Macaca fascicularis: one gene and its partners. Each later gene encodes a partner of the first gene's protein in a complex. Links are inferred from orthologs where the notes say so. Each region holds a gene or a part of one and is shown on either strand. Other genes may lie near its edges. The genes, in order: CRNKL1, PPIL2, SF3B5, RBM48, CWC15, SNW1 and SNIP1.

Region 1 (4,273 bases):
TGAATCTCCTTTAGGCTTTCTTCCCATTGTGCGTATTTTATCCAGTTACTAATTACAGTCCTGTTTTTTCTTATGTTATCTTCAAAAGTCTGGAAGAAGGCAAAAAGGGTCAAGTCAAAGGGCAAATGACTAAAAATGACAGCACCCTTGGTCTATTTTAAGTCTTGTACTAAACTGGTTATTCATTTTGTTCATATTTAAGAGAAATTACATCCTGGAATCCTTGAGGAATAAGAAATCCACTACAGAAGGTTACAATCAACTAACTGATACTTTGAAATAGTCTATGCTTGTCCCTAATAAAAAATATTTTGACTATTACCCGTAAGTCCTCTGGTAACGTTCAGAATTTCATATATAACAGAATTCATGCTTTAAAACAGTCCCACATTCTAGAGTGAAGAGGTCAAATCAGATCCCAAAGTCTTCTCATAGTCCTTTTGCAGATCTCAATTCCTTTTCCTTTCTTCTCTTTTTTCTTTGAGACAAAGTCTCGCTCTGTCGCCCAGGTCGGAGTGCAGTGGCATGATCTCGGCTCACTGCAGACTCTGCGTCCTGAGTTCCTACGATTCTCATGTCAGCCTCCTGAATAGCTAGGATTACAGGCACTTGCCACCACGCCCGGCTAATTTTTGTATTTTTAGTAAAGATGAGGTTTCACCATTTTGGTCAGGCTGGTCTCAAACTCCTGACCTCAGGTGATCAGCCCACCTTGGCCTCCCAAAGTGCTGGGATTACAGGCATGAGCCACAGTGCCCGGCCAGATCTCATTTCTTAACACAGAAGGTGGTATAGACAGAAGTACACAGTCCAGCCTTACTAAGCATACCCCCTTCCAGTTGTCCGTTGTTTCACCTGCTAAACTTCCACCCATTTTTGATTCAGTACCAAAAATTATGCAGATTCAATTGTTTTATACTTTAACCAGACAACTCAAGGCATATTTTATATAGTTCAGAAAAATGCTGTTATCTGGTAACCAGAAGGCATTATTCATGTGTCTAGGAACACTAACCTCATCTTGCCCTACAGAATCCAACCAGCTTTTCAAACTCTGACTGATACACTCTTAACAATTAGTGGACTGAAAGATACCACACTGACTGACCTTCCTTTTCCTTAGTTTATAATCATTTAATTCTTCTTCATCTGTGATCTTCTGTTGAGGTGGAGGTGGAAGAAGCTCAAGTTCTCTTTCTTTAGCCTCTCTTAAGAGTTGTTCAGCAGTTATCTGTACCTCAGCCGGGGCTTTGTTTTTCACCTTTTAAGAACAAGACATTTCTATTTTTAGTAGATGCTCTTCACACAAGGTTTAAGAAACAAACATACATTTTTTAGGATATGAACTTCATTAGTATTATCACAAGATGCTCTCTTTGTATGACATGTTCCCATCCTCCATGAGACTAAAAAGAAAAAAAAATACTATGTTTTCTCTCTTATTCATGGTATCTACTACAAAGCCACAGGTAAAAGTCTCAAGAGAAAAAGGTGGCAAAAATAATACCAAGTTTTCCCTTTTAGATGAGTATAATAATAAACTTTGAGGCTGTGTAGGTAAAATTCTGACCAGAGGGTTTATCAAGATGTGTAGCACATCTTATTAATAGCATTACCACCTGCATTCGCAGAATTCTTCAACTTATTTAATGCCCCTGGTGGAAAAGTGGGTATGGTTTTTCACGGAACCTCAAGTCAAAGGCACTATTCAATAAGTTCCCATCATTAGACTGTAAGTTTCTTGAGGTCTTAGAAGTTTACAGTCTAACGTAGCTTAGAGCTGTGCTGTCCAACACAGTAGCTATGAGTCACATGTGGTGAGCACAAATTGAGGTGGACTGTAAATGTAAAATACACACTGGTTTTGAAGATGAAGTATGAAAAAAAGAACAAACTATCTCACAGTTTTTATACCGATTACATGTTGAAATTATAATATTTTGGATACATTAGTTCAAATAAAATATATATTATCAAAATTAATGTCACTTTTTTTGCTTTGCTTTTACTTTTTAATGTAGATAGGAGAAAATTTAAAATTTCATGTGCTGTGCACTGTATTTCCATTGGACCGGTGATGCCCAATAAAAGTGTACGTAGCTGAATTATAAAAATTGTTATTTAATGCCACGTGTGGAGTAATGATAATGGTGATAGCTCATATTTAATAAGCACTAAGTGCCAGACACACTGTTACTTGCTCTACATGCATTACTTTTGCGAGTCAGACAAATAGTTACGTAAAGGTCCAGTTCAAGAGAGTCATCTGGGCTCAAGAAAGACTGGAGGGAGGATATCTGTAAAGGCTTCAGACAAATTCTGACACATATTAAGCACTTCGTAAGTATCAGCTATCGAGGGAAATACCAGTTAGTAAATCTACTGTTTAATTAACTTATGATACTATACTACTACTGCCGTCTATTCTCACCCTCCGCTGTCAGCTGGGCTAACTCCTATTCAGTCTTCAAGTCTCAGCTTAAAGGTCATTTCCTCAGCAAAATTTACTCTCAGGAACCCTTCATACGACCCCCTTATTCACGCCCATGGCATATTCTACTTTGCCTCTCAGTAACATCTGGCAAGATCGTCCTCATACACACACTCGTGTTTTGAGTACTGCTTCTGGCCAGCGTCCGAGCGTAGCTTCCCAGCGCCCAGTGCAGTGCCTGGGTCAGTAAATCTTCACTGAACCACTCCACTCCTCCTCCCTGCAAAACCACCCCATCGTGCTCCGCGATGACAAGAGCCCGCGCCCCACCACCAGCTGACCCTTCCTCTCCATCTCTCAGGGTGGGCCCTCTCCCCGGCGGGAACACTGTCTCCCGCCCGGGGCACCCCCAGGGCTGAGGGATGCCCCTCTCCTGGGCCACCTCCCACAAGGCCCCTCGCGATCGCCTACCTTGGCCACTTTGGGAATCCGCTGTTTCCCGGCCGCGGTGGAGGCCGCCATGTCTGCAGCAGCGGACCTCGGGGCACCTGTCCCCCGCACGAAAGCTAGAAATCCGCGGTCTGAGAGCTCACCGAAACCACAAAGATTTCCGACAACAAACAGGATCCCGGAATCGGAAGCGGAACTCGCCAGGCTGACCTTTGACCTCTCGCATGCGCCGTGACGGACGTGGCACCGTTTCCATGGGGACCAGGCTGCGCGTCCTCCTTACAGCAGCGCGCGGAGTGCGGCGTCCTGGAGCTGCGCGTGAGGTGGGTAGCGCCGGCCTGACTAGCAGCGACGCGAGGACTGCGATTCAGGGCGTCAAGGGCGTATCCCCAGGTCAGCCTCCAGAACTGGGATGACCAGGCAAGGAAGAGAGGCTCTGTCTAGCCGTGGCGCCCTGCAAGGGAGTAGGGTCGAAGCTCCAATCTGGATGCTCGAGGGGCGGGGGAACGAAGGGAGAGCGAGGAAACTACCATTCCCAGTATGCGAAGGGGCGAGCTGCCGCCCTTTTAGGCTGTCTGGCTCTGCATTGCATTCTAGGTCTTGTAGTCTCTGGGTCCACGCCCCCTCGTTTCTGGTTTCTGGACAGTTGTGCCCAAATAATTAACTCTAAGGCTTGGAATTAAAAATAACAGAAGGTACTTAGAAGCCAGATATTAGGACAAAATGAAAGTAAAAAATAGAGTAACTAGAAAACAACTCAGTCTTGTGATAAGAAATATGTTTAAATTCTGTGTGTGCCTTAATTACTCAAATTTTCTTAGCCTCAGTGTCCTCAACTATAAAACAAGGGTAATACCATCTGTTTCACTAGGATTAAAGACAAATGCTCAGTAAATGTAGCTATTATAATACTTAACCTGCCCTCAAAAACGGAAAAATTAAGCAAAAGTTAAAAGAATTTTTTTAATAGACAAATTTTTAGAGAAGTTTTAGGTTCACAACAAAATTAAGTGGAAGGCACAGAGATTTCCCCCCTCAACAGCTTCCTGCCATCAATTATTATACCTCTTCCCCACTTTAACAGCCTCCAACTCTCAAAAATATCCTCCACCAGAGCGGTACATTTGTTACAATCATGAACCTACATTGACACATCATTATCACTCAAAGTTCGTAGTTCATGTTGGGGTTCACTCTTGGTGCTGTACATTCTATGAGTTTGGACAAATGTACAATGACACGACTTGGCAGCACATTTGTTAGAATAATTTTCATAGTTGCAAGGCTCTTTTGGTTTTTGGGGAAAATATATATTGTGTATGTAGTAATATCACGTCTACCAATGCAGCTATTGCTTTCAAAAAAAGATTGATGCAGATTTCTAGAACTGCA
Region 2 (3,470 bases), about 36 Mb from region 1:
AGCCTGGCCAACATGGTGAAACCATGTCTCTACTAAAAATATAAAAATTAGCCAGGCATGGTGGTGGGCACCTGTAATTCCAGCTACTTGGGTGGCTGAGGCACGAGAATCGCTTGAACCCGGGAGGCAGACGTTGCAGTGAGCCAAGATCGCGCCACTGCACTGCAACCTGGGTGACAGCGAGACTCCGTCTCAAAGGGAAAAAAAAAAAAGACTTTTGGGATGAATGAGAACGCGACAGACCCCAGCTGTGAGCCTTCAAAAAGCCCTCAGAGGGCAGAGCCAGAGAGGCTGAAAGGAATACAGTGGAAGATACTGGGTGGGTCCCAGCACTGGTGGCACGGAGCACCCCAGGGTGGTGCAGGCAGGCACAGCCCACATACCCTGCTGGTGAGAGACAGGACCTAACCCCCGCTGCATCGAACATGCACCCCCCCAGCCACGCAGGGACATGATCCTGAGCCCACCGAGTCTGACCACCCCCAAGGCCACCAGACAAGTGTCCACAGATGTCACGTCTACAATGGGGCAGACCTGCGCTCTGACCTGCAAGTGGTTCTCTCTGGCTGATTTCTAACACAGTGAAGGAAACTAGAAGCAGAATTAAACTCAGATACGAGGAAAGTAAAAGAACCATCCCGAGGCAAGCTCCTCCTGGAAATTTTTTTTTTTTTTTTTTTTTTTTGAGGCGGAGTCTCGCTCTGTCGCCCAGGCTGGAGTGCAGTGGCGCGATCTCGGCTCACTGCAAGCTCCGCCTCCCGGGTTCCCGCCATTCTCCTGCCTCAGCCTCCCGAGTAGCTGGGACTACAGGCGCCGCCACCACGCCCGGCTAATTTTTTTGTATTTTTAGTGGAGACGGGGTTTCATTGTGTTAGCCAGGATGGTCTCGATCTCCTGACCTCGTGATCCGCCCGTCTCGGCCTCCCAAAGTGCTGGGATTACAGGCTTGAGCCACCATGCCCGGCTTTTTTTTTTTTTTTGAGACAGAGTCTCGCTCTGCCGCCCAGGCTGGAGTGCAGTGGCGTGATCTTGGCTCACTGCAAGCTCTGCCTCCTGGGTTTACGCCATTCTCCTGCCTCAGCCTCCCGAGTAGCTGGGACTACAGGCGCCCGCCACCTCGCCCGGCTAGTTTTTTTGTATTTTTTAGTAGAGACGGGGTTTCACTGTGTCAGCCAGGATGGTCTCGATCTCCTGACCTCGTGATCCGCCTGTCTCGGCCTCCCAAAGTGCTGGGATTACAGGCTTGAGCCACCGCGCCCGGCCGGAAATTTTTTTTTTTAAGACGGCGACTCGCTCTGTCACCCAGGCTGGAGTGCAGTGGTGCCATCTCAACTCACTGCAACCTCTGCCTCCAGGGTTCACGCTATTGCCCCAGCTGTTCTTCAACTCCTGGACTCAAGCGGTCTTCCTGCCTCGGCCTGCCAAAGTGCTGGGATTACAGGCGTGAGCCACTGTGTCTGGATGACCTGAGCATTTTCTTTGTCCATGTTTATGTTACCCACGTTTCTGAATCCCTTGATTTCTGCTCTGGCTTTGTTGCCTCCTTTCTCCTCAGTCCTTCGACAGGTCCCTTGATGGCACGGGGCTGGCTCTGGTTTTCCAGGTGTCACCTTGTCCCAGCCACCTCCCACAGACCTGCATGACCAGGCTGGCTCTGGGCACAGGGACTCCCTGACAGGCACTGGGCAGCAGCCGGGGCAGCAGGAGGACCTGGGGACAGCTGGAGGTCCGGGGTTCCCTGGGCAGCCTTGGGGAGCTGATGACCTGCCCTGGTGGGCAGCAGCAGGGAGCCCCATGCACCCACGTGTCCACGGAAGCCGCAGGTTCCCAGAGCCGACTGTAGAGGGTGGGCAGCTCCTGGTGTGCTCTCAGGCAGGCCAGATGCAGAAGGTGCCATGCTCTCCCTAACCATCCAACCCTCCTCCCCAGCTTCATCACGTTTCGCTCCTGTGCCTACCTGGATAAGAAGCACACCATCTTTGGACGGTAAGGGAAGCGGCTGTGTGAAGCCTGGGGGTCAGTGGGCTAGGTGGGGTCCTTCCCCACCTGAGGCCTCCTCGCTGCCTTCTCTGTGGACCTGAGCCATGTGCCGTGCTGGCTGTCACTGCTGGGGGTTGAGGCTATGCAGAGCTGGGACAGAGGGTGCTCCCTGTGCCAGGGAAGTCTGGCTCTCCAGACCCACCGGGCTCAGGAGAGGAGGAAACACCCCTGCGTGGCCTGGCCGCTGCCCTGTCTCAGACCTGATGGCGCGCCACTCACAAGCCTGGCCACGCCCAGCTCCCTTCACCCTCTAGTCCAGGGGTCTTTCCAGCATTGTGGGCCGCGTGGTCTCTTGACGCCCACCCAACTGTGTGGAAGCAGCACAAAACAAGGTGGATGCAGGTGATGTGGTTCTGGCCAAGTGGAACTCTGTTACCAAACCAGTGGGGACAGCACAAGCCACATTTGTGACTCCTATTTTTCCTGTGGGTGGGGAACCAAAAGAGAACCAGAAAAAAAACCCAGCTGGATATGCCCAGGGCCATGGTCTGCTGACCCCGCCCTTGCCACGCCCTCTCATCGCCTTCCTGGCTGCTGCCCGAGGACCACCAGGCCAGCCTCGGGGCTCTCAACCCCTCTTCCCACATGCCTTGGTGCCCGGCCCTGAGGGTGCCCTCCTTGAGCACATGCAGACCCGCCTCTGTCTCCCTGCTGCAGTGTTGTTGGGGGCTTTGACGTACTGACAGCCATGGAGAATGTGGAGAGTGACCCCAAAACTGACCGCCCTAAGGTCTGTGCCCAGGGAGGTGGGGCGTGGCGGCTGGGGGCCAGGCAGGCGGGGGGAGGACCTGCCGTGCACTGAGTCCCCTCTGCTGCTAGGAGGAGATCCGCATCGATGCCACTACAGTGTTCGTGGACCCCTATGAGGAGGCTGATGCCCAGGTGAGGGGGCACGATGCCACCACCAGGAGGGTCTGGGCCAGCGCACCTTCCCACCCCAAGCCTAGCATCTGTCCTGCCCGAGGTGCTGCTGGTCAGCCTCCACCCTCTTGTGCCACAGATCGCCCAGGAGCGGAAGACACAGCTCGAGGCAGCCCCGGAGACCAAAGTGAAGAGCAGCCAGCCCGAGGCAGGGAGCCAGGGCCCCCAGACCTTCCGCCAGGGCGTGGGCAAGTACATCAACCCAGCAGCCACGTGAGTGCCGCGCGGTTGGCCTCTCTGTTTCCCATGGTGTTTCCTAGGGCTGACTGAGGTCTGAGGGTCAGATCCAGAGGGGCAAGAAAGCCACGGGCACTGGACCTGGGCATGGGCTTGTGCTGTGTGGCCTCTGCAGCCGAGGGACTACCTCTGAAGGCCTGGCCGGGGCCTCTGTGGGTGGAAGCCATCGAATTCAGGGGGACGTGGGAGCAGCAGGTGGGAGGGGTTGGTCCTATACCGGGAGGGCCGTATGGAGATACAGACAAGTCAGGAGGGGCCGAGGGAGGGCGTGG
Region 3 (2,988 bases), on another chromosome or scaffold:
GTTGTAATAGAGTTATTTAACCATTTATCAAATTTTTGTTTTGGATTTTTTTTTTCAAGTAGCTTCTACCCATGTAAGGAAGTTATTAAACCAAACGGTAGGATATAAAGCAATAACAAGGAAGAGATGTATAACCTGCAAAGAGGAAGGAGAGTTTACATCTGTCTGGAGCAGCCAGAGAAAACTCTAAGGAGATGCATTTGAGCTGCCTTTTTGGGAGATGTATTCACCAAGGGAACAGACATTCCACGTAGAGGGAACAGCTTGTACAAGAAAATGGGTATGGGCACAACAGGTAACACGGAGAAGTACAGTTGTCCCTCAGTATCCGTGAGTGATTTGTTCCATGACTCCCATGGATACCAAAACTAGAGGATGCTCAAGTCCCTGATATAAAATGGCTTGTATTTGCACATATGCACATTCTCCTGTATAGTTTGTCTCCAGATTATTTAACAATACCTAATACAATGTAAATGCTATGTAAATAGTTGTTATACTGTATTGTTTAGGGAATAATAACCTTAAAAAGTCTACACTTCAGTACAGACTGACTTTTTCCCCAAATATTTTCAATCGGGTCGGTTGAATCCACAAAACCCACTGAATGGAAGGGCCAAGTAGGGTGCAGTGAGGCCTTGGAGGAAGGATATCAAAATAAGTGGCTAGAGAGGAAGGAGGAGCTTGAGGTGGAAGCCGGAATGTGTGGGAATTGGTGCTGTACTTGCTCACCAAGCACCCTGGTTAGAGCTGAAATAACTCTTTTATGCCACAGACTCCTAAGAGACATAGCTGGGACCAGAACTTGTGCCTGCCGACTTCTGGGAAATCCATCCCTGGTTGTGAAGGGATGGCTGTGCTACCATGATAGCTTTGGAAAACAGGGAGAGTTTATTTTCGGGGCTGCTTGTAGTCCAGTCCTACTTGGGTTTCCCATTTCCCATCAGCCCCAAGCCACCCACGGATGCTCCCCACCTCCCAGACATCACCCTCCACTAGGTCCCCAGATCACTTTTAAAACGCGACCAGGGGCCTGGCGCAGTGGCTCACGCCTGTAATCCCAGCATTTTGGAAGTCCGAGGAGGGAGGATCACGAAATCAGGAGTTCGAGATCAGCCAGGCAAAGACAGTGAAACCCCATCTCTACTAAAAATACAAAAAAAAAAAAAAAAAAAAAAAAAAAAAAATTGGCCTGGCGTGGTGGTGTGCGCCTGTAATCCCAGCTACTGGAGAGGCTGAGGCAGGAGAATCGCGTGAACCCAGGAGGCGTTAAGTTGCAGTGAATCGAGATCGCGCCATTACACTGCAGTCCCGGTAACAGTGCGAGACTCTGTCTCAAACAACAAAACGAGACCAGGAGTTCCAGAAGCCTACGAGCACGAACTCCCAAGACCACAAGTCCCAGCATGCAAGGCTCCCTGTTGGAAAAGGGCTTCCCATAGCCACCAAGTGGACCATCATGCAAAGCTCTCTGACGGGGCGGGGCTCTCTACAGGGGCGACACACTTGTGGCGTCGCCTCGGCAACTCCAATTCCGTGACAGAATGTGCTTCCGCTTCCGCCTTTGAGCCCTATGAGCGAGACTTACGCTACTTAGTCGTCGTGACGCCATTCTTCTGCGACGGCGCGGGCCGGGAGCTTCCGCACGGTGGCCTCACTCCCGCGTGAAACGCCAGAGCGGCGATTTGTTGTCTGCGTCCTCTGTCCTGGGAACTAAGGGGAAAGCGGCGAGATGACGGACCGCTACACCATCCACAGCCAGCTGGAGCACCTGCAGTCCAAGTACATCGGCACGGGCCACGCCGACACCACCAAGTGGGAGTGGCTGGTGAACCAACACCGCGACTCGTACTGCTCCTACATGGGCCACTTCGACCTTCTCAACTACTTCGCCATTGCAGAGAATGAGAGCAAAGCGCGAGTCCGCTTCAATTTGATGGAGAAGATGCTTCAGCCTTGTGGACCGCCAGCCGACAAGCCCGAGGAGAACTGAGACTCTGCCTTACCACCACTGTGCGGGGCACCTCTCCCAGTGTTCCTCAGGTTGGCCAATCCCTTCGACTATTTCTGCCTCCAAAGGACCGGCTCTCCATGGCTCCTGCGTCTGGTACTTCCGCGTACAGAAGTGCTTGCCCGGGGAATCCCGCCTGACCTGCCTTCATGTGAACCCTTTGGAATAGCACTGGGAGACCAGCAGAACCCCTGAGAACTGTGTTGGTGAAGAGGGCCTAGAGCCGGCAAGCGTTTGAGAAGAGGGCGTGGCGCTGGAATGAGATGGGATTTGGCGTCTCATTTTTGGCTAATTGATTGTCATTGGCTTTTTCCATAAAGTTTAGAAATCATTCACTCTCTTGGTGTGAACTTCCTGTGTTAGGGTGGAGGGCTCCTGAAAGACCCGAGCGGGAAATGGGTCGGGGGAGGGAGTGCATGCCAGTGTCCATGATCAGGTACTTAAATCCACCCTGTCTACCATTATAATTAATTCCCCGACTGCCACTTCTCCCAAGAGCGTTATTTTCAGGCCCACAATGCCTTCAGTATTGAAGTTTGTGGTTATTGTATCCCATTTTCTTTTTCTCCCGTTTTAAAAGTCTTTGCAGTCTTTGCTGTCATTGTCCTCCTTAGCCTCTTTAAAATGCATCCTTTCTTTTTCTTGGGAATTTGTGGCCATGTCTCCAGAAATGACAAGCTGGCAAGTGAGTTCATCCTTTCTATATTCAACAAATATTTGTTGAGCTCTATGTGACAGGCATTTTCCCATGGTCTTGAGGCTTACATTATGCTGGTGGTGGAGAAAGGAGGTCAAACACTGTAGACGTAATAAGTAAATGTTAGAAGATGCTGCGGGGAGGGGAGAACAATGTACGTGGTGTGGGTGGGAGTAGTTGGTAGGGCCATAATCTTAAATATGATACACAAGTTACTGAGATGGTGACATTTGAGCAAAGACTTTAGGGAAATGAGGGAAATAGCCATGCGGAAAACTGG
Region 4 (3,837 bases), on another chromosome or scaffold:
TTATATGTAATCTCACTTTCTTAACCAATCTGCCAGCTGTCATGGTTAGAGAAATATTTTCTCGAGCTTTTCTGTTTTCCAAAGTACCTAGTCTAGTAGGCTCTGAAGTAAGACATCTGGATTTGAATCCTTGCTCCTCAAACCAGAGTATGAGCATGGCTAAGTTATGTAATGTCCCAGTGCTTCCGTTTCATTACAGGGTTGTTGTTAGGTGTTAATTCAAGTGAAGCACTTACAACATTGCCTGGCATATGGTAAAATCTGAGCAAGTATTTATCATTATCCCTGGATACAGAAGTAGTTATATTTATTGTAGTACCTGGCCAATCATAGATGTTTAGTAAGTATTTATTGACTGAATAACATTCTTCTCATTTTCTCATTGTTATATGTTTAATAGTTCCTCAGTTATTGAACGTTTTATGATTATAGTATTTTTCATCTGATTTTTAAGGCAAGAATCCCATTACAGAAATACATTGTGCTGAAAAAGCTTAATTGGGTATGAAGTAACTCTTCAGGGCCACAGAGAAAAGCTCTATTTTATGACCACAGTTTATATACTTCAGGCCAACCAGCTGGGTCCTTAGTTGTTTAAAGACTAGGAAACAAAGAGGCTCGAAGGGAAGAAAAGGGGAGGCTCTAAGTACATACTCGAACAATGGAATGAATACTGTCCACAAGCAGAGCATCTTAATTCCCAATCCACAGGATATATATACACATAGCAAAAGTTGGACTTTGCTCTTTAGATCCAGATATTGTATACTAGTTAAGCTTTCATCCCAAGTAAATCTAGATTAAAAAACCATGCTATCTTGTATTTCCATTCAGGACAGCCAAGAGAAAAATGGATGAACAGAGTTTCTTTGGTGGATTGCTTCATGTGTGCTATGCGCCAGAATTTGAAACAGTTGAAGAAACTAGAAAAAAACTACAAGTGCGTAAGGCATATGTAGTAAAAACTACTGAAAATAAAGGTATGGAAAGCATATTGCTAAATGCCTCCTGTATGTCAGGTACTCTGCCAGGTGTATCATCATGCAATTCCTAGTCTAGTGGGAGGAGAGGCAAGTAAAGCATCACAGTATTCAGTAACTGTAAGGGTTCTCTACAGCACACTACATAATCTGGGTTGAGAAGGGAGAAATGTTGGTTCATAGAAGACTTCCTACAGTATGTGAGAAGTGGCTGAAATTTGAAGGATAAGTAGACATTAACTAAAAGGGAGAGGAAAAGATGGAAAGGCAAGCCAGGCAGGATGTTTAAGTGTTTAGAGGAATAAATGAGCATCATGCATTTAAGGAAATTTAGTTAATACAGTATAACCAAAGCTCAAAGGTTTCAGTGAGAGATAAGTTTAGAAAAGTGGATAAGAAGTGAATCATGAAGGGCCTTGTGTCCCATGCTAAGGAATTAAGGCTTTGACCAGAATGCAGTGAGAAGCAGTTATGATTTGCAGACTAGTTGTCACTGCTAATCATGGAGAAGTTCTACTTTTGACCAGCAATTGACTAAATGCCCCCATATGCCCCTTCTACCAGATAGTGGTAGAGAGAAATAAAGTGGGAAAACTCTTGGAAAACTTACTCAGAAATCTGGCAAGAGAGCTGTTGAGAATCCCCAGTCATCTGTATCCATTGAAGTCTAACTTGTAAGATAAGTAAATAAATAGCACCAGGAAAACTTAATGTGTTTGTATGACAAAGGACATTATAAAACATTAATGTGGAGAAAGACCTTTGACATTATCTGACCTGTGTCCTAATTTTTCTTGGTGAGGAAACTAAGTCTCAGAAAGTTTGTGACCGGCCTATATTATTAGAGATGAATTAAGGACAAAAATAAGGATTAAAACCCAAGCTTTGGACTCTTTCTCCAGAGCTTACTTTTTAACTGCTTTAATTATCTCAGTGTTGGTGTGACAGCCTAGGGTTATCTTCATTATTTGCTCCCCTTCCTCTTAAGATCTTTTTGCCGTGCTGCTGATCTCAGAATTAAACCTGACTTGCTTGGCCTTGGACACTTCAGTTAAGCTGTCTTTCATCAGCATTTTAGCATCTGTGCGATGCATTTGTATACTTGGTCTTACTTTTCAAAAACTCTTATTATGGAAGTTATTGTTATTATTATTATTATTATTATTATTATTTTGAAATGGAGTCTAGCTCTGTCCCCCAGGCTGGAGGGCAGTGGCGTGATCTCTGCTCACTGCAAGCTCCGCCTCCTAGGTTCACGCCATTCTCCTACCTCAGCCTTCGGAGTAGCTGGGACTACAGGCGCCTGCCACCACGCCCGGCTAATTTCTTGTATATTTAGTAAAGACGGGGTTTTGCCGTGTTAGCCAGGATGGTCTTGATCTTCTGACCTCGTGATCCACCTGCCTCAGCCTCCCAAAGTGCTGGGATTACAGGCGTGAGGCACTGTGCCTGGCCTGGAAATTTCAAAACACAAAGGCAGAAAGACTAAGTTAATACATCTCCCATGTATTAATATTAACATCAACAATCATCAACACATAGCCAATTTCATCTATACCACATCTTCCACACTCCATGTTGTAGACTGCTTTTGGGAGAGTAAACCAGGGAAGAGGCCCTTGCCAGCCCTAGAAGTGGGACAAGCATATTGCTTTCTTTAGTAACTGACAAACACAAGCTAAGGAGCATGATACATCCAGATAGTGGAATACTCTGAAATTGTTAAAAAAAAAAAAAAAAAAAAAAAAACTTTCTGTATAATGGTGGAAAACCTATATAAGATCTACAGTGAAATGGAAAATGCAGAGGTGCAGAGAAATGGATATTACATTTACCTTTTTTAGTGGGGAGAAAAAGAATGGGAGAAAGGTGGCAAAGTAAAACTTACTGAACAGATAAATAAAAAACAATAGTGATTACTTATGGGGATGAAACCAGACCCATGGAGTGCAAGGAAAGGGTGACACTTGATGCTGTATATCTTTTTATCCGTTTTAGGTTTTAAACCATGTGAATATATTCCCTTCTCAAGAAACAGTTTTTTTGGAGTATAATTTGTTAACATTTTTAAGTGATTTTTAAAAATTATATGATTCTCAATGATGAAAACAATAGATTAACCACTTATGTTTCTCTTTCCCTCAACTTTTAAATTGTAATATAAAGACCATAACGTGACAAAGAAGAAATTGGTTACAGAGCATAAAGACAGAGAGGATTTTAGACAAGACTTCCACTCAGAGATGTCTGGCTTTTGTAAAGCTGCTTTGAACACTTCTGCAGGGAACTCAAATCCTTATCTTCCGTATTCCTGTGAATTGCCTTTGTGTTATTTCTCCTCAAAATGTATGTGTTCATCCGGGGGACATGTGGACAGAGCATCAAACTCCTCTAAGGATGGTAGAAATCATCATAAAACAATGGGGCATTATAACCACAATGACTCTTTGCAGAAAACACAGATAAACACTTTTAAGAACTCAGTGGCCTACCCTGGTGTGCAAAAGGCTATTACGTCTTCAGAGGCAGTTGACAGATTTATGCCTAGGACAACACAACTGCAGGAGCGCAAAAGAAGAAGAGAAGATGATCGTAAACTTGGAACTTTTCTTGAAACAAACTCAGGTAGTAATGAGGTTATGATTGGACCTCTGTTACCAGACATGTCTAAAGTGGATATGCACGATGACTCATTGAATACAACTGCGAATTTAATTCGGAATAAACTTAAAGAGGTAAGGTTATTTTTAAAAACTGTTCTAAGAGACGATTTGGTTATAGGACTAAATGGGGAATTATTTGTGGGAACAATAGTATTGTAATTTTTTTCACTTTTTAGTTTTTTGATGTGTTTTTC
Region 5 (4,602 bases), on another chromosome or scaffold:
TTTAGCACTGAGGTCAGGGTTATATTTGAATAACAGCAAGCAAATATATGTCACTTCTTAAAGCCAAAGGCATAACAAGTATTTCAGAAAAACATGGTAAATCAATTATTAGAGATGAAAGGAGAAAACAAAACATACATCTGTTAGAGGGTCATCTGCATCAAGGTTGGCAGCAGGAATCTGGTCTAACCGTGGCTTTTTTGACACTGAAGAGGAGGTTGTATGTTCTGAGGGGAAACAAAAATCACTTAACTTAGTAAAACAAATACTGCATCTCTTAAAATGTTTTAGGGACCTGTGGGCACGAGGAGCCCACACTGAAAGCATTATCCACAGTGAAATCACATCCACAGTGCCTGGGCAAATAAGCCTTTGGTAAATATTTGTTATTGTTATCTCTAATGACTTAAGAAAGTATTACAGCTCACATCAATCTGTAAAAGCAAACAAATGGTTAATATTTTCCAGTTGCTACATAAAAGAAAAACTATCAACAACATAATTTTAGAGATAAATGTCTTGGATAGTGTTGGTACCTCGGGTTGGACGATCTCTGTTTTTCTCTCTTGCAGCAGCTCTCTCTCTTTCTTCCAACTCTCTCCTGAAGTCACGGTTACGAACCTCTTCAGGGGCATCCTGAGTAGTTTGTCTAAAGTAGAAACAAACCAGGGCAAAAATGTTACTTAAACACACACACACATACACACACACACGACTGTGGTAATGGAAGACAATTCAGGAATGAGACTTTGTCCTTCAAGCATAAAAAAGGGAAGTAGATAAGATCATAATCTAATCTGAAAGTTACTAACAGCCACTCTTGTGATGTTCCCAATATTTCAAGAAGTCCAAATTCAATCACGTATTTTCCTATAATAAGGCTTTACGTGATTAAAATGTCTTTAATTTTTATTGGTATTATCAACTCAGAACTTAACAGTAATACTTTTAATATATTGACTGGTGCTGATAGTGCATAATCTCTCTGAGGCATTATTATTTCTGTTATTTATTGTTGTATCTACATACGAAAATTTCTGGTTAGTAGGAATTTTGCATTTTAAAACCACAGGGCAGAATTTTAGTGTTAAACATCCTATTGCATTCTAATCCTATGATAATAGATAAGTGACATAACTCGAACATACTACTATATCATGACCATGCCATTTAACAGATTTGGTCTTGTTTTGTGAACAAGAAAAAAAAGAGGCTGGGCGCGGTGGCTCAAGCCTGTAATCCCAGCACTTTGGGAGGCCGAGATGGGCAGATCACAAGGTCAGGAGATCGAGACCATCCTGGCTAACACGGTGAAACCCCGTCTCTACTAAAAAATACAAAAACCTAGCCGGGGGAGGTGGCGGGCGTCTGTAGTCCCAGCTACTCGGGAGGCTGAGGCAGGAGAATGGCGTGAACCCGGGAGGTGGAGCTTGCAGTGGGCTGAGATCCGGCCACTGCACTCCAGTCTGGGCGACAAAGCGAGACTCTGTCTCAACAAAAAAAAAAAAGAAAGAAAAAAAAGAAAGTCTTACTACCTGTATTTTATCTTTGTGTGAGAGGGTAGGTCTCTGCTTGAATACTGCTTTGAAAGTTGGCTCAAATCACCTTCTCCTTTTCCCCTTCCACCTCTTGCAGGTTCAAAGGTTGGCCTGGCTGCTGTTGTCATCTTTTATGCTTTGAAGAAAAATATAATCAAGTTATTTACAACAATACAAACACTCATTTTACAGAGTATTAATATCCATACTAGTGAAATAAATTCTAAAACTCATTCCCCTAAACCTGCTTAATCTTCTTAAACAAAAGTTTTCAGGAAAACAAATTATGAGGCTTAGGCCGTACAACGAATAGGGCTTCTCCGGCTTGTCTTAGTACAAAAAATTCTGTCATGAAGATCTGAGTTTGCATCCCTATTCTCCTTCTGACTATATGGGCTTGAGCAAGTCACCTGGCTTAACTTTCTGTCATCCGTGGAATGGAGATATTCCTCATAGGATTACTATAAGAATTATGACACTTGACATGTCAAAAGCCTTGAAAAATACAGTACTACCATGACTAAGTTTTAAAAATTTCCAACTCAACCTTACTCTACCAGACTCTCTAAGGTTTGCATTTTATCTAAACTTCACACAATAGCAAATAGGCTAGTAGAAACAAAAGCTAAAAACAAACAAAAAATATCACTGACAAAGTTACTAAGTGTCTGAGAAAAAAGTTACTAAGGAAAGTGTGTTAAACTTCAATGACAGGTACATAGAAAAAAATTCTTAACCTTTTGTTGAGCCAATTTTCTCCTACAACAGGCATCATATTATAAATCAGATCGTTTGTGGGTTATAACTTAAGGACTGTTCAAAAAAAACAAAAACAAAAACAAAACAGGAACCTCAGCCCCAGAGGATTCTGATGACAAAAATCAGGGACCCATTCCTTAAGTTACTTTCTGCTTGGAGCAGTCACAAGAATACTGCCTAGCAGATGCAGTCATTAAAACCCTGTTAGTGTCGGAAAAGCAAGTGTGTGGGGAGGGTGGGCGAACTGGGAGGATTTTTTTTTGTGGGGGGGAGTGCTTTCTCCTAATTTTCAAAAAGAGTAAGAGACATGTATACAAAGAAGAAACGGGGTTATCTGGAGCTGGGAGTCCGCCCCTTCCCACACACTAACGGAATTATTACTCCGGCCTCTCGTGAGCTAGTCTTTGGCTATAACCAGAAACTCGTTGCCCCTTAACCCGTGCCCAGCGCCGCAGGGGTGCGAGGGGTAGTGAAAGGAGGACCTGGGGTTCGCTTTACGCGGTAGGCGCGCTGCCTTTTATGCTGCGATCTCCTCTGCGGGCCCGAGAGCTCCGGACGCGCCTGACAGGCACTCCGTTTCGCCCCTAGCCCGCTGCTCTAGGTCCTCCACCGCCCGCACTCTGCACTCTGCCGCCGACTCCGACCCCAACTGCCCTTTCCCGTCCCACCGGGATGAGGAAGATAACCTATCCTCCTGCCGCTCACACTGGCCGAGGTCCGATGCAGCAATCTCCGAAGATCATACAGACGCCATTACGACTCCGAGCTCCCAGAAACCTCTGCGCCCAGGGCTAGCGCCTACGACCCGGAAGCAAAATCCAAGCGCTTCGGAGGCGGAAGCAACGACCAATCCGCAGTGGCCGAAGTGGAAGTCGGCGTAACGGCACTAGGGGGCGGGGCCGAAACGGCCCAGGGGGCGGGCGTTTGAAATCAGTGCCTTAGAGTAGACCCTAAACATCATTTTATACCTTCAAGAACCAATTACTTAATGTCTCTTCCGTCTTTTCCGTCCCCGACCCCCTCCCAGACTCCTTCATTCCGGTACTGCGTGGACGGAAAGCCCCGGGTAGCCGACACCACGTCCCCGGCTAGCGGGAGAGAGCGTGGAAAAGGATTACACCAAACTGTTTAAATCCAACGACTCCTGCTTCCATCCTTTCTCCTGAGCTAGAACCAACAAACCTAGAGAGTTGGGCTTCGGAAAAACTAGTGTTTTCATTTAATTGGATATGAAGAAAGAACAAATATGTACGGGGCAACCACGATCTTTACAAAGGTACATTCCTGCAAAAATATTAACACTTCAAAGCAAAGGTTGTATTCGTAATGTTTGCTAAAATTTTTTATTTAAAAAACGTTAGTTTTAGTGGGAGGGGAGATGTCAATATTTACGACAGCGTTTAGAACGGTGGGCCCAACTGCCAGGAGCACAAGATGTAATTACTAAGATGGCTACTTAAGTGTTAAGTTTTAATAAGAACGAAAAGGAGAAAACCCAAAAACCAAAAACCCACCAATCCTGTCTCCTCCCTTCCATAAAAAAAAATCCTGAGAACAGAGATCTTGATTGTTTAGCTAATCTTAGTATCTCATCACATAGACCTTGACATATAGTAGCTGCTCAATTAATATTTGTTAAACAAATGAAAATTCAACTTCCCCAACTTAGTTTAAAATATAAAGAACTCACAAAGTTGAATATTTAAATGCTTTCTTACCTCTAAATTCTTTGCAACTTTTAAATGAAGAAAGAAAAGCAGAAAAAGCCCTTTCACTCATAGAGTTCAAGATGAAAATCTTGATTTTTCTTACTAAAGGTATCCCTCCTCCAGTCTTACACGTCTCACTAAAGGACACGATCATCATACTAGTTACTCAAACCAAAATCCCAGAGTGCCTACTTAAATTCCTTTTCTTTCACTTTTCACATACGGTTCATTTACAGGTCTTACCAATTCTACTTTTAAAACTTACCCGAAATTTTATTCTACTGCCATTACCCTTGTCCTGGCCAACACCATCTCCTACCTGGATTGTAATTGTTTCCTATTGTATCTTCCTGCGTCATCTTTTATCCTACAGTCAATGCTGCATATAGCCAAGAGAGTGATCTTTTAAAATTAATCAAATGGTGTTACTATCCTGTGTAAAATTTCACTGCACTTAGGATAAAAATCACATTTCTTAATGTGACCTGAGACGCCACGGCGTCTGGCTCCTGCCTAACTTCCAGACTTCACTTCCAATCAGTCACTCGCTTACACACTAAGCTCTAGACACAGCCAACTGGGCATTTCTGTTTTAC
Region 6 (3,837 bases), on another chromosome or scaffold:
TTGGTTATGTTTTGTTTTGTTTTGTTTTGTTTTTTGAGGCAGAGTCTCACTCTCACCCAGGCTGGAGTGCAGTGGAGCAATCTCAGCTCACTGCAAACTCCACCTCCCAGGTTCAAGTGATTTTCCTGCCTCAGCTGGGATTACAGGCATCCGCCACCATGCCTGGCTAATTTTTGTATTTTTAGTAGAGACAGGGCTTCACTATGTTGGCATGGCTGGTCTTGAACTCCTGGCCTCAAGTAATCCACCTGCTTTGACCTCCCAAAGTGTTGGGATTACAGGTGTGAGCCACCTCGCCCAGCCGGAAAAACTGTAATCGATTGAGACAGACAGACAGATAGATTTTATGGCAGAAGGAATAGCCAATGTAAAGATCCTGAGATGGCTTAAGGTAAGATAAGAAGGCTATAGCGAAATGAAGATGGTGAGTGCCGGGGAAGAGTGTATTTATTTCTCCTACAGCATTTAAGGAGCTCCAGCTGTGAAGTTAAAAGTCTTGGAGCATTAGGGATGAAAGAAGTATAAGGTGTGATTCCTGCAGAGCTGCTCACAGTCTTGTGAAAACAGAGTAGATAAATGAGTAGATGATTGCAGTACAGTAAGATAATGTTGTAGTAGTGGTATATAGAGGGTTGTAGGGGAGCATAGAGACGGGCATTTAACCCAAACTGGAAGAGTCATGGTACAGCCCTAAAACTATCAAACATACGGAACCTGTATTGAAAGTGCCTAGATACTATGCCAACAGGTTCATGGATTTCTCTCATTTAATATTTATAAGAACCTTATGAAGTAGATACTCTTATGAACTATTATTACAGATGAGAAAACAGATTCAGAGAGGTAAGTAGCTTATCCAGGTTAGTAAGTGGCATAGGTCAGATCTGAAATCTAAGCCTAGCCATCACTTACCGCCCCAGACTGGATTAGATCCCTATCATGTAGACTCATAGCATCTTAGTATCTTAACATCATAACTTAACATGTGTAATTATAGATTTGTGTGATTTTTTTTTTTTGTTCTCTGTCTCTGCAAGACTCCGTTTATAGTCTCATGCCTAGCATAGTGCTTGAACCCAAATAATAAATATTTTTGAATAATTAATAAGCTCTGCTACTTAGGTATGCTTCCTATCCAAGAATCACAAAGGAACTAAGGTTGTTTTCTCCATATTCAGCCATCAGGATCCTTTTGTAGTACTTTAGAGTATCACTATAATACTTTAATACTTAAAAGTTGTTAAGAACAGTTTAGTAGAAAGGTTACCTTGACTAAAGAATAAGCTGCATCTTCAGGGCTTCTGCTTTGATTCTTTGGTCTCTTAAGGTTTTTTTTTGTTGTTGTTTGTTTGTTTTAGAAGGAGTTTTGCTGTTGTTGCCCAGGCTAGAGTGCAATGACGCAATCTTGGCTCACTGTACCCTCCACCTACCGGGTTCAAGTGATTCTCCTACCTCAGCCTCCCAAGTGGCTGGGATTACAGGCACGCACCATCACGCCCGGCTAATTTTGTATTTTTAGTAGAGACAGGGTTTCACCATGTTGGTCAGGCTGGTCTTGAACTCCTGACCTCAGGTGATCCACCCACCTCGGCCTCCCAAAGTGCTGGGATTACAGGTGTGAGCCACCATGGCTGGCCTGGCCTCTAAGTTTTAAATTTCATTCTAGATTCCCTTGGCACTTAAATATACAACTCGTGTTTATTTTAGCTACCTCTTTGTTCTAATCCTAGTTCTTTTGTATTTACACTGAAGTAGTTTAAGGAGCATAAGGGTAAAAATGTTAAAAATAAGGAGTAGCCAGGCATGGTGGCTCATGCCAGTAATCCTAGTACTTTGGGAGGGTGAGGCTGATGGATCACTTGAGGTCAGGAGTTTGAGACCAGCCTGACCAACATGGGCCAACATGACAAAAACCTGTCTCTACTAAAAATACAAAAATTAGGGGTGTGGTGGCACGCACCTGTAATCCCAGCTCCTTGGGAGACTGAGGCATGAGAATCACATGAATCCAGGAGACAGAGGTTTCAGTGAGCCGAGTTTGCTCCACTGCACTCGAGGCTGGGCAACAGCACGAGACTCTGTCTCAAAAAAAATAAAAGGAGTATAAGAATAGCAAGTATATACTGGACAGTTTATCCCTGGATTTTTAGGAATGTTTACTTGCTTGTTATAAGAAATATGGAAACAGGCTGAGTGTGGTGGCTCACACCTGTAATCCTAGCACTTTGGGAGGCCGAGGCAGGCAGGTCATCTGTGGTCAGGAGTTCGAGACCAACCTGGCCAACATGGTGAAACCCTGTCTCTACTGAAAATACAAAAATTAGCTGGGTGTGATGCCGCACATCTGTAATCCCAGCTACTTGGGAGAGTGAGGCAGGAAAATTACTTGAACCCAGGAGGTGGGGGCTGCAGTGAGCCGAGATGGTGCCACTGCACTCCAGCCTGGGTGACACAGAGAGACTGTGTCTCAAAAAGAAAAAAAAAAGACAAATATGGAAGCGTGGCCAAATGTGGTGGCTCACGCCTGTAATTCCAGCACTTTGAGAGGCCGAAGTCAGCGGATTACTTGAGGTCAAGTTCAAGACCAGCCTGGCCAACATGGTGAAATCCCATCTCTACTAAAATTGCAAAAATTAGCGTGGTGTGGTGACACATGCCTGTAATCCCAGCTACTTGGGAGGCTGAGGCAGGAGAATCACTTGAACCCAGGAGGCAGAGGTTGCACAGAGTGGAGATGGTACCACTTTATTCCAGCCTGGGCAACAGAGTGAGACTTTTTCTCAAAAAAAAAAAAAAAAGGGAAATACGGAAGCATAAATGCTTAAGAGTTTGTCTATTATATGAAATATATGTTAATTTTTTATTCTGGATATCATTTGCTATTGTCCTAGTCAGATGTTTTTACTGTATGTCTTTGAGTACTTCTGTCTTCCACATGTTATAAAATGACTAATATTGAGTACTACCATAAATCATTGAAAAATCGGCTGTTTCGCTGAAAAGTAAAAGCATTGTAGGAAAATTTGTCTCTGTGGCCAAGTTGCAGTGGTCAAATTAAACATAAGCGTTTTTTAAATTTCTGACTTTTATTATCTTTGCTTATAGCTTTTTACCCGCACCTACTCAGCTATCTCAGGACCAGCTTGAGGCTGAAGAAAAGGCAAGATCCCAAAGATCGCGGCAGACCTCACTGGTCTCCTCCCGAAGAGAGCCTCCCCCGTACGGATACCGGAAAGGCTGGATACCTCGGTTATTAGAGGTACATATGGATCTTAAGTTTAAATTTATTAAGTTGTGCTGAAATTTATAGCACACTATAACATAAATTTAAATGTTAGGACCTCTGATTATGAATGTCAGTGTGATAGAAATTCTGGTTATGCGCTCTCAAGATGTATATTTTGCTCAGAAGATGTATCATTTTCTTTTTGCTTATTATCTGTCACTGCTTTGTGGTCACTAGAGAATTGTACCATTTGTCTATTCCTATATCAAACTATTAAATATTTACCAGAAAACTAACATTTTGTAAATCCAGGAATTATAGCATATGGAAAATAATGGGAAGGTAAAAAGATAAGAGAGATGAAAGTGGATTTCATGTTTGGGCTCCTCCTCCTCCCCTCCAGTAATACCACATAACCCTGAAGAGAGAACTTTCTTTCAGGGAAAACTCCAGTAGCACTTCCTTTGCTAATTTCTTTCTCTTCACTTGTTTTCTTACCTTTAATTTGAGAATGTTAATATATATATGATATATAGGTTAAATATGTTTTTGTGGGTATAAGAGACAAAATTTGGTTGATTTGAAGGCAATGAGGGAGAAGGAACCATCTG
Region 7 (4,377 bases), on another chromosome or scaffold:
AAATGTATTTAAAGTGTATACACGGGGAGAATCACAGCGTGATTACCCACCCTGAAAGGGGTTCAGAAGCTTATATATCCTCCTGGTAAAACAGACTTATGAGGGTGGGAGAAGGAGGAATTCTGTTCAGGGATTACTAGGCAGAATGAATTAATAAGGGAACAGAGATACATTTGTAAATAGTTTTTTGTTGTTTTTTTGTTTTGGTTTGGTTTTTTTGAAGACAGGGTCTCACTCTGTAGCCCTGGCTGGAGTGCAGTGGTGCCATCACGGCTCACTGCAGCCTCCAACTCCTGGGCTCAAGTGATCCTCCTATCTCTGCTGGGACCACAGGCACGAGCCACCAGCCCCTGCAAAATTTAATTTTTGTAGAGACAGAGTCTTGCTATGTTGGGCAGGTTGGTCTGGAACTCCTGGCTTCAAGCGTTTTTCCTGCCTTGGCCTCCCAAAGGGCCGGAATTACAGGCTGCAGCCTCCGTGTTCGGCTGTAAATAGCTACTTTTGACAGCATAACGGTCTCTGGTCAGGTGTGATTACATTCTTGGGAGGAGAAGAAAGAAACAATTATTCCTTTTGGTAGTCTGTATCTTAGGCAGATAAAGACCTGCGCTTTGGGAGAGATGGTGGGCACCGGGAAGGAACATTGAGGCTTCTTCAGTTCGGCATGTCAGTGCGCCATATTTTGGGGTTTCGATTTCTGAGCCCCAACAGCATTGCAAAAAGTTCAGGAAATAGAAGAGGAAAAGCTAATGATTTGCCCACGGGTTATCATCTCTGATTGCATTTCCATGTCTTCCTCCCTTCTATTTCCAAATGTAAATGTAATTATGGTTTGCGCACAATTTTGTATCCTGCTTTGTCGTTAACAAGTCAGGGTTTTTAAAGTTTGTAAATGGTTTACTAATGGCCACATAACACCCATTAATTTGGCTAACTTCCCTACTGCTGGGTATTTACATTGTTTCCACGTTTTGTAATTACCAGTAATGTGGCAACAAACAGTCTTGAGAGGTTTGCTTTTTCCCAGTTTTTTGTTGTTATTGTTGTTTGTTTGTTTTTGAGACATCTCGCTCTGTCGCCCAGGCTGGAGTGCAGTGGTGCGATCTGCGCTCACTGCAACCTGCGCCTCCCGGGTTCAAGCGATTATCTTGCCTCATTCTCCCGAGTAGCTGGGATTACAGGCGCGCGCCACCACACCTGGCTAATTTTTGTATTTTTAGTAGAGACGAGGTTTTGCCATGTTGGCCAGGCTGTTCTCGAACTCTTGACTTCAGGTGATCCGCCAGCCTCGGCCTCCCAAAGTTCTGGGACTACAGGCGAGAGTCACCACGCCCAGCCAGAAGTTTGTTTTTGAAACTTGAAACTCCCGCCACCCAAGCCGGTCACTGTGGCTACTCCCACTAGGGAGTAGTCACGTGTTTAATATCTGCCGCGAGGATTTCTGGGAGGTTGGGCACCCCGGAAGCGGAAGTCCAGGAGTCAAACTCGTCATTTCCTTCAGCTAGAGGAGCTCAACGGATCTGTTTTCTTTCGCTCAGCCAAAATCACAGAATGAAGGCGGTGAAGAGCGAACGGGAGCGAGGGAGCCGGCGAAGACACCGGGACGGGGACATGGTGCTGCCGGCGGGGGTGGTGGTGAAGCAGGAGCGTCTCAGCCCAGAAGTCGCACCTCCCGCCCACCGCCGTCCGGACCACTCCGGCGGTAGCCCGTCTCCGCCGACCAGCGAGCCGGGCCGCCCGGGCCACCGCGGGAACCGAGCCCGAGGAGTTAGCCGGTAAGTGGGGGAGCAGCCCAGGATGGACGTTGGGTTGGGCTCATTCAGAAAGGCGGGCAGGGCTAGCATCCGAAACAGGTTTTGAATGCTGGGCGCAGCAGCCCGGACTTAATCCTGAGGGACTGTTGAGAGTGATCCAGTCGTGCTTGTGTTATGCTTGCTCTGTCACTTGCCTTATAGCTCGGTGTTCAACGCCTAATGACACACCGGCAGGATCCCACTCCTTCATTCTTGTGTCCCCAGCACTTCGAAGAGTGTAGCCCAACAGATAGCACTGATAATCTGTTAAATTGGAATGAGATTTTCCCCATCCCGCCCACAAATGGAGTGTGGGCCTTGTCTTTCCAGTTACCTGCCAGAAAGGTTTTCACATCGAGGTCTAGGCGAGCTACCTAACAGAAACTGGAAAAATAAAAATAAAAAAAGTTACTTCTTGCTAGACTCATTTATTTATGCATTCATTCACCATAGTTTTACTGAGTGCCTATTTTAAGTGTGAAAGACTGCCCTAGGTATTGGGGCTGCAAGGGCGATTCAGTTAGATGATCTTCACCAGTGCCAAATTGGCCGTGCTCTAACCCTGAGACAGATGATTAAAAAAAAAAAAAAGTTTCAATAACAAGTATTATTGATAGGTTATAACAGTAATGTGATAGAGATTGGAGAGAAGAGGGAGGAGGCCTCTTTAAAGAGGTGCCATTTGAGTCCAGACCTGAGTGATAGGAATGATTCAACCTCTTAAAGATCCAGGCAGAGGAAACAACATCTGCAAAGAACTTGAAGTAGAATGAATTATGATTGAAATGGGAAAAAGCCAGTGTCGGTGGAGTATAGTGGTCAAGAAGGTGGGTGGTAGGAATGAGATGGCATAGGGAGGAAGTAGAACCACAGGATGGAGGGATTGTTCCTGATGCTAGGGGTGTTGGTAGTGAGGGATAAAGAATCAAGGGTGACTTCCGGATGGTGATGCCAGTTAGCAAGATGGCAAGGAGTAGGAGAGGAAAGGTTTTTGAAGGGTTGGAAATTAAGAGTTTTGTTACCTAAGTGAGAAGGTTCAGTAGACAGTTGTCTATGTGAGTATGGAATGCAAGGGAGACGTTAGAGCTAGGAAAATGAACCTCGTGACTCCTTTAATGTGATTGGCAGATACCTTCACAAAAGCAGTGTTTGTGTTAGTAGGTAAGCCTGATACTGGAAGCTAATTTTTATGGGGGAAGGGAAATTGCGATAAAATCCTGTGTACCATGCTCTGTATAGGTCCCCACCCAAAAAGAAAAACAAGTCCTCAGGGAGAAGAAGCAAGTCTCCTCGGAGTAAGAGAAACCGAAGTCCTCACTACTCAACAGTCAAAGTGAAGCAGGTAAGTGGATTGGGGTGTTTTGATGTTGGGTCCAAATTGAGAGCCTTTTCCTATCACAGCTAAAGAGGGCTGTGTGTGTGTGTATTGTGTGTGTGCGCGTGTGTGCACGCACACTCGCCTACATCTCTACCTGTACCTCCAATGGGCTTTTCTGAAAACTGGGTGTATTTCTTTTTTCTGCTTGTTTGCTTAAATTAAACTTTTTATTTTGAGATTATTATTGGTTCACATATGGTTGTCAGAAATAATTCAGGGAGATATACTCTTCCTGGTTTCTCCCAGTGGTAGCATCTATTCATAATAGAACTGTGGTACAATATCATCATCAGAATATTGACATCGATATAGTCAAGATAACATTTCCTTCACCACAAGGAATACCTCATGTTGTCCTTTTGTAGCCACACACACTTATCTCCCACTTTTATCCTTCCTTAACTTCTGTCAACTTCTAATCTGTTCTTCATTTCTATAATTCTGTCATTTCAAGAATGTTATGTAAGTGGAATCATACAGTATGTAACCTTTAGGATTGTCTTTTCTCACTCAGCAGAATCCTTTGGAGATTGATTCAGGTTGCAGCTCTCAGTAGTTTGTTCTATTTCATTGCTGAGTGGTATCCATATGGCATGGATTTAGCCACTTACTCATTAAAGAACATCTGGGTTGTTTCCATTTTTTGGCTATTACACATAAAGCTGCTATATACACATTTGTGTACAGGTTTTTATGTGAACATAAGAGTTCATTTCTCTGGAGTGCAATTGCTGGATTGTACGGTAGTTGCAGGTTTAATTCTTTTAAGAAATTGCCAGACTGTTTTCCAGAGTGGCTGTATTAGTTTCCTAGGGCCACCATAATGAAATACCATAGAGTAGGTGGCTTAAACAACAGAAATTCATTTTCCTGTAGTTCTGGGGCTAAAAGTCAAAAATTAGGGTGTTAGCAGGTTTGGATTCTCCTGAAAAAAATCCTCTTTCCTTGGCTTGCAGATGGCTACCTCTTTGCTGTATCCTTAAATGATCTTTTTTCTGTCCTGGTGTCTTTTCTCAGCCATATTGGATTAGGGCCCTGCCCTCATTTTTTAACTTAATCAGCTCTTTAAAGACCTTATCTCCAAAAACAGTTATTAATACATTCTGAGGTACTTGGGTTTGGTACTTTAACTTGCTAATTTTGGAGAGTACAGTTTAGTCCGTAACAGTGGCTGTACCATTTTATATTCCCACCAGCAATGTATGA

What was found.
Region 2: CRNKL1 (region 1) and PPIL2 share a complex: the UniProt entries of both Homo sapiens proteins name them as parts of the minor spliceosome. The link is inferred for Macaca fascicularis from reciprocal best matches to the Homo sapiens genes CRNKL1 and PPIL2.
Region 3: CRNKL1 (region 1) and SF3B5 share a complex: the UniProt entries of both Homo sapiens proteins name them as parts of the minor spliceosome. The link is inferred for Macaca fascicularis from reciprocal best matches to the Homo sapiens genes CRNKL1 and SF3B5.
Region 4: CRNKL1 (region 1) and RBM48 share a complex: the UniProt entries of both Homo sapiens proteins name them as parts of the minor spliceosome. The link is inferred for Macaca fascicularis from reciprocal best matches to the Homo sapiens genes CRNKL1 and RBM48.
Region 5: CRNKL1 (region 1) and CWC15 share a complex: the UniProt entries of both Homo sapiens proteins name them as parts of the minor spliceosome. The link is inferred for Macaca fascicularis from reciprocal best matches to the Homo sapiens genes CRNKL1 and CWC15.
Region 6: CRNKL1 (region 1) and SNW1 share a complex: the UniProt entries of both Homo sapiens proteins name them as parts of the minor spliceosome. The link is inferred for Macaca fascicularis from reciprocal best matches to the Homo sapiens genes CRNKL1 and SNW1.
Region 7: CRNKL1 (region 1) and SNIP1 share a complex: the UniProt entries of both Homo sapiens proteins name them as parts of the minor spliceosome. The link is inferred for Macaca fascicularis from reciprocal best matches to the Homo sapiens genes CRNKL1 and SNIP1.

What each region holds. Positions count from the first base shown.
Region 1 is NC_088384.1:67,252,980-67,257,252, reverse strand, and holds the start of CRNKL1 (crooked neck-like protein 1), read right to left. Parts: upstream 3,068-4,273; 5' UTR 2,954-3,067; coding exon 2,903-2,953; intron 1,262-2,902; coding exon 1,109-1,261; intron 90-1,108; coding exon 1-89. UniProt on the Homo sapiens protein: Involved in pre-mRNA splicing process. As a component of the minor spliceosome, involved in the splicing of U12-type introns in pre-mRNAs.
Region 2 is NC_088384.1:31,438,585-31,442,054, reverse strand, and holds part of PPIL2 (RING-type E3 ubiquitin-protein ligase PPIL2), read left to right. Parts: intron 1-1,929; coding exon 1,930-1,986; intron 1,987-2,697; coding exon 2,698-2,770; intron 2,771-2,859; coding exon 2,860-2,922; intron 2,923-3,040; coding exon 3,041-3,174; intron 3,175-3,470. UniProt on the Homo sapiens protein: Has a ubiquitin-protein ligase activity acting as an E3 ubiquitin protein ligase or as an ubiquitin-ubiquitin ligase promoting elongation of ubiquitin chains on substrates.
Region 3 is NC_088378.1:48,298,766-48,301,753, reverse strand, and holds SF3B5 (splicing factor 3B subunit 5), read left to right. Parts: upstream 1-1,656; 5' UTR 1,657-1,732; coding exon 1,733-1,993; 3' UTR 1,994-2,342; downstream 2,343-2,988. UniProt on the Homo sapiens protein: Component of the 17S U2 SnRNP complex of the spliceosome, a large ribonucleoprotein complex that removes introns from transcribed pre-mRNAs.
Region 4 is NC_088377.1:128,832,800-128,836,636, reverse strand, and holds part of RBM48 (RNA-binding protein 48), read left to right. Parts: intron 1-834; coding exon 835-980; intron 981-3,146; coding exon 3,147-3,715; intron 3,716-3,837. UniProt on the Homo sapiens protein: As a component of the minor spliceosome, involved in the splicing of U12-type introns in pre-mRNAs.
Region 5 is NC_088388.1:93,956,521-93,961,122, forward strand, and holds the start of CWC15 (spliceosome-associated protein CWC15 homolog), read right to left. Parts: upstream 3,081-4,602; 5' UTR 2,780-3,080; intron 1,675-2,779; 5' UTR 1,667-1,674; coding exon 1,536-1,666; intron 650-1,535; coding exon 537-649; intron 228-536; coding exon 139-227; intron 1-138. UniProt on the Homo sapiens protein: Involved in pre-mRNA splicing as component of the spliceosome. Component of the PRP19-CDC5L complex that forms an integral part of the spliceosome and is required for activating pre-mRNA splicing.
Region 6 is NC_088381.1:145,710,952-145,714,788, reverse strand, and holds part of SNW1 (SNW domain-containing protein 1), read left to right. Parts: intron 1-3,105; coding exon 3,106-3,259; intron 3,260-3,837. UniProt on the Homo sapiens protein: Involved in pre-mRNA splicing as component of the spliceosome. As a component of the minor spliceosome, involved in the splicing of U12-type introns in pre-mRNAs.
Region 7 is NC_088375.1:197,372,285-197,376,661, forward strand, and holds the start of SNIP1 (smad nuclear-interacting protein 1), read left to right. Parts: upstream 1-1,487; 5' UTR 1,488-1,551; coding exon 1,552-1,775; intron 1,776-3,032; coding exon 3,033-3,135; intron 3,136-4,377. UniProt on the Homo sapiens protein: Required for pre-mRNA splicing as component of the spliceosome. As a component of the minor spliceosome, involved in the splicing of U12-type introns in pre-mRNAs. Down-regulates NF-kappa-B signaling by competing with RELA for CREBBP/EP300 binding.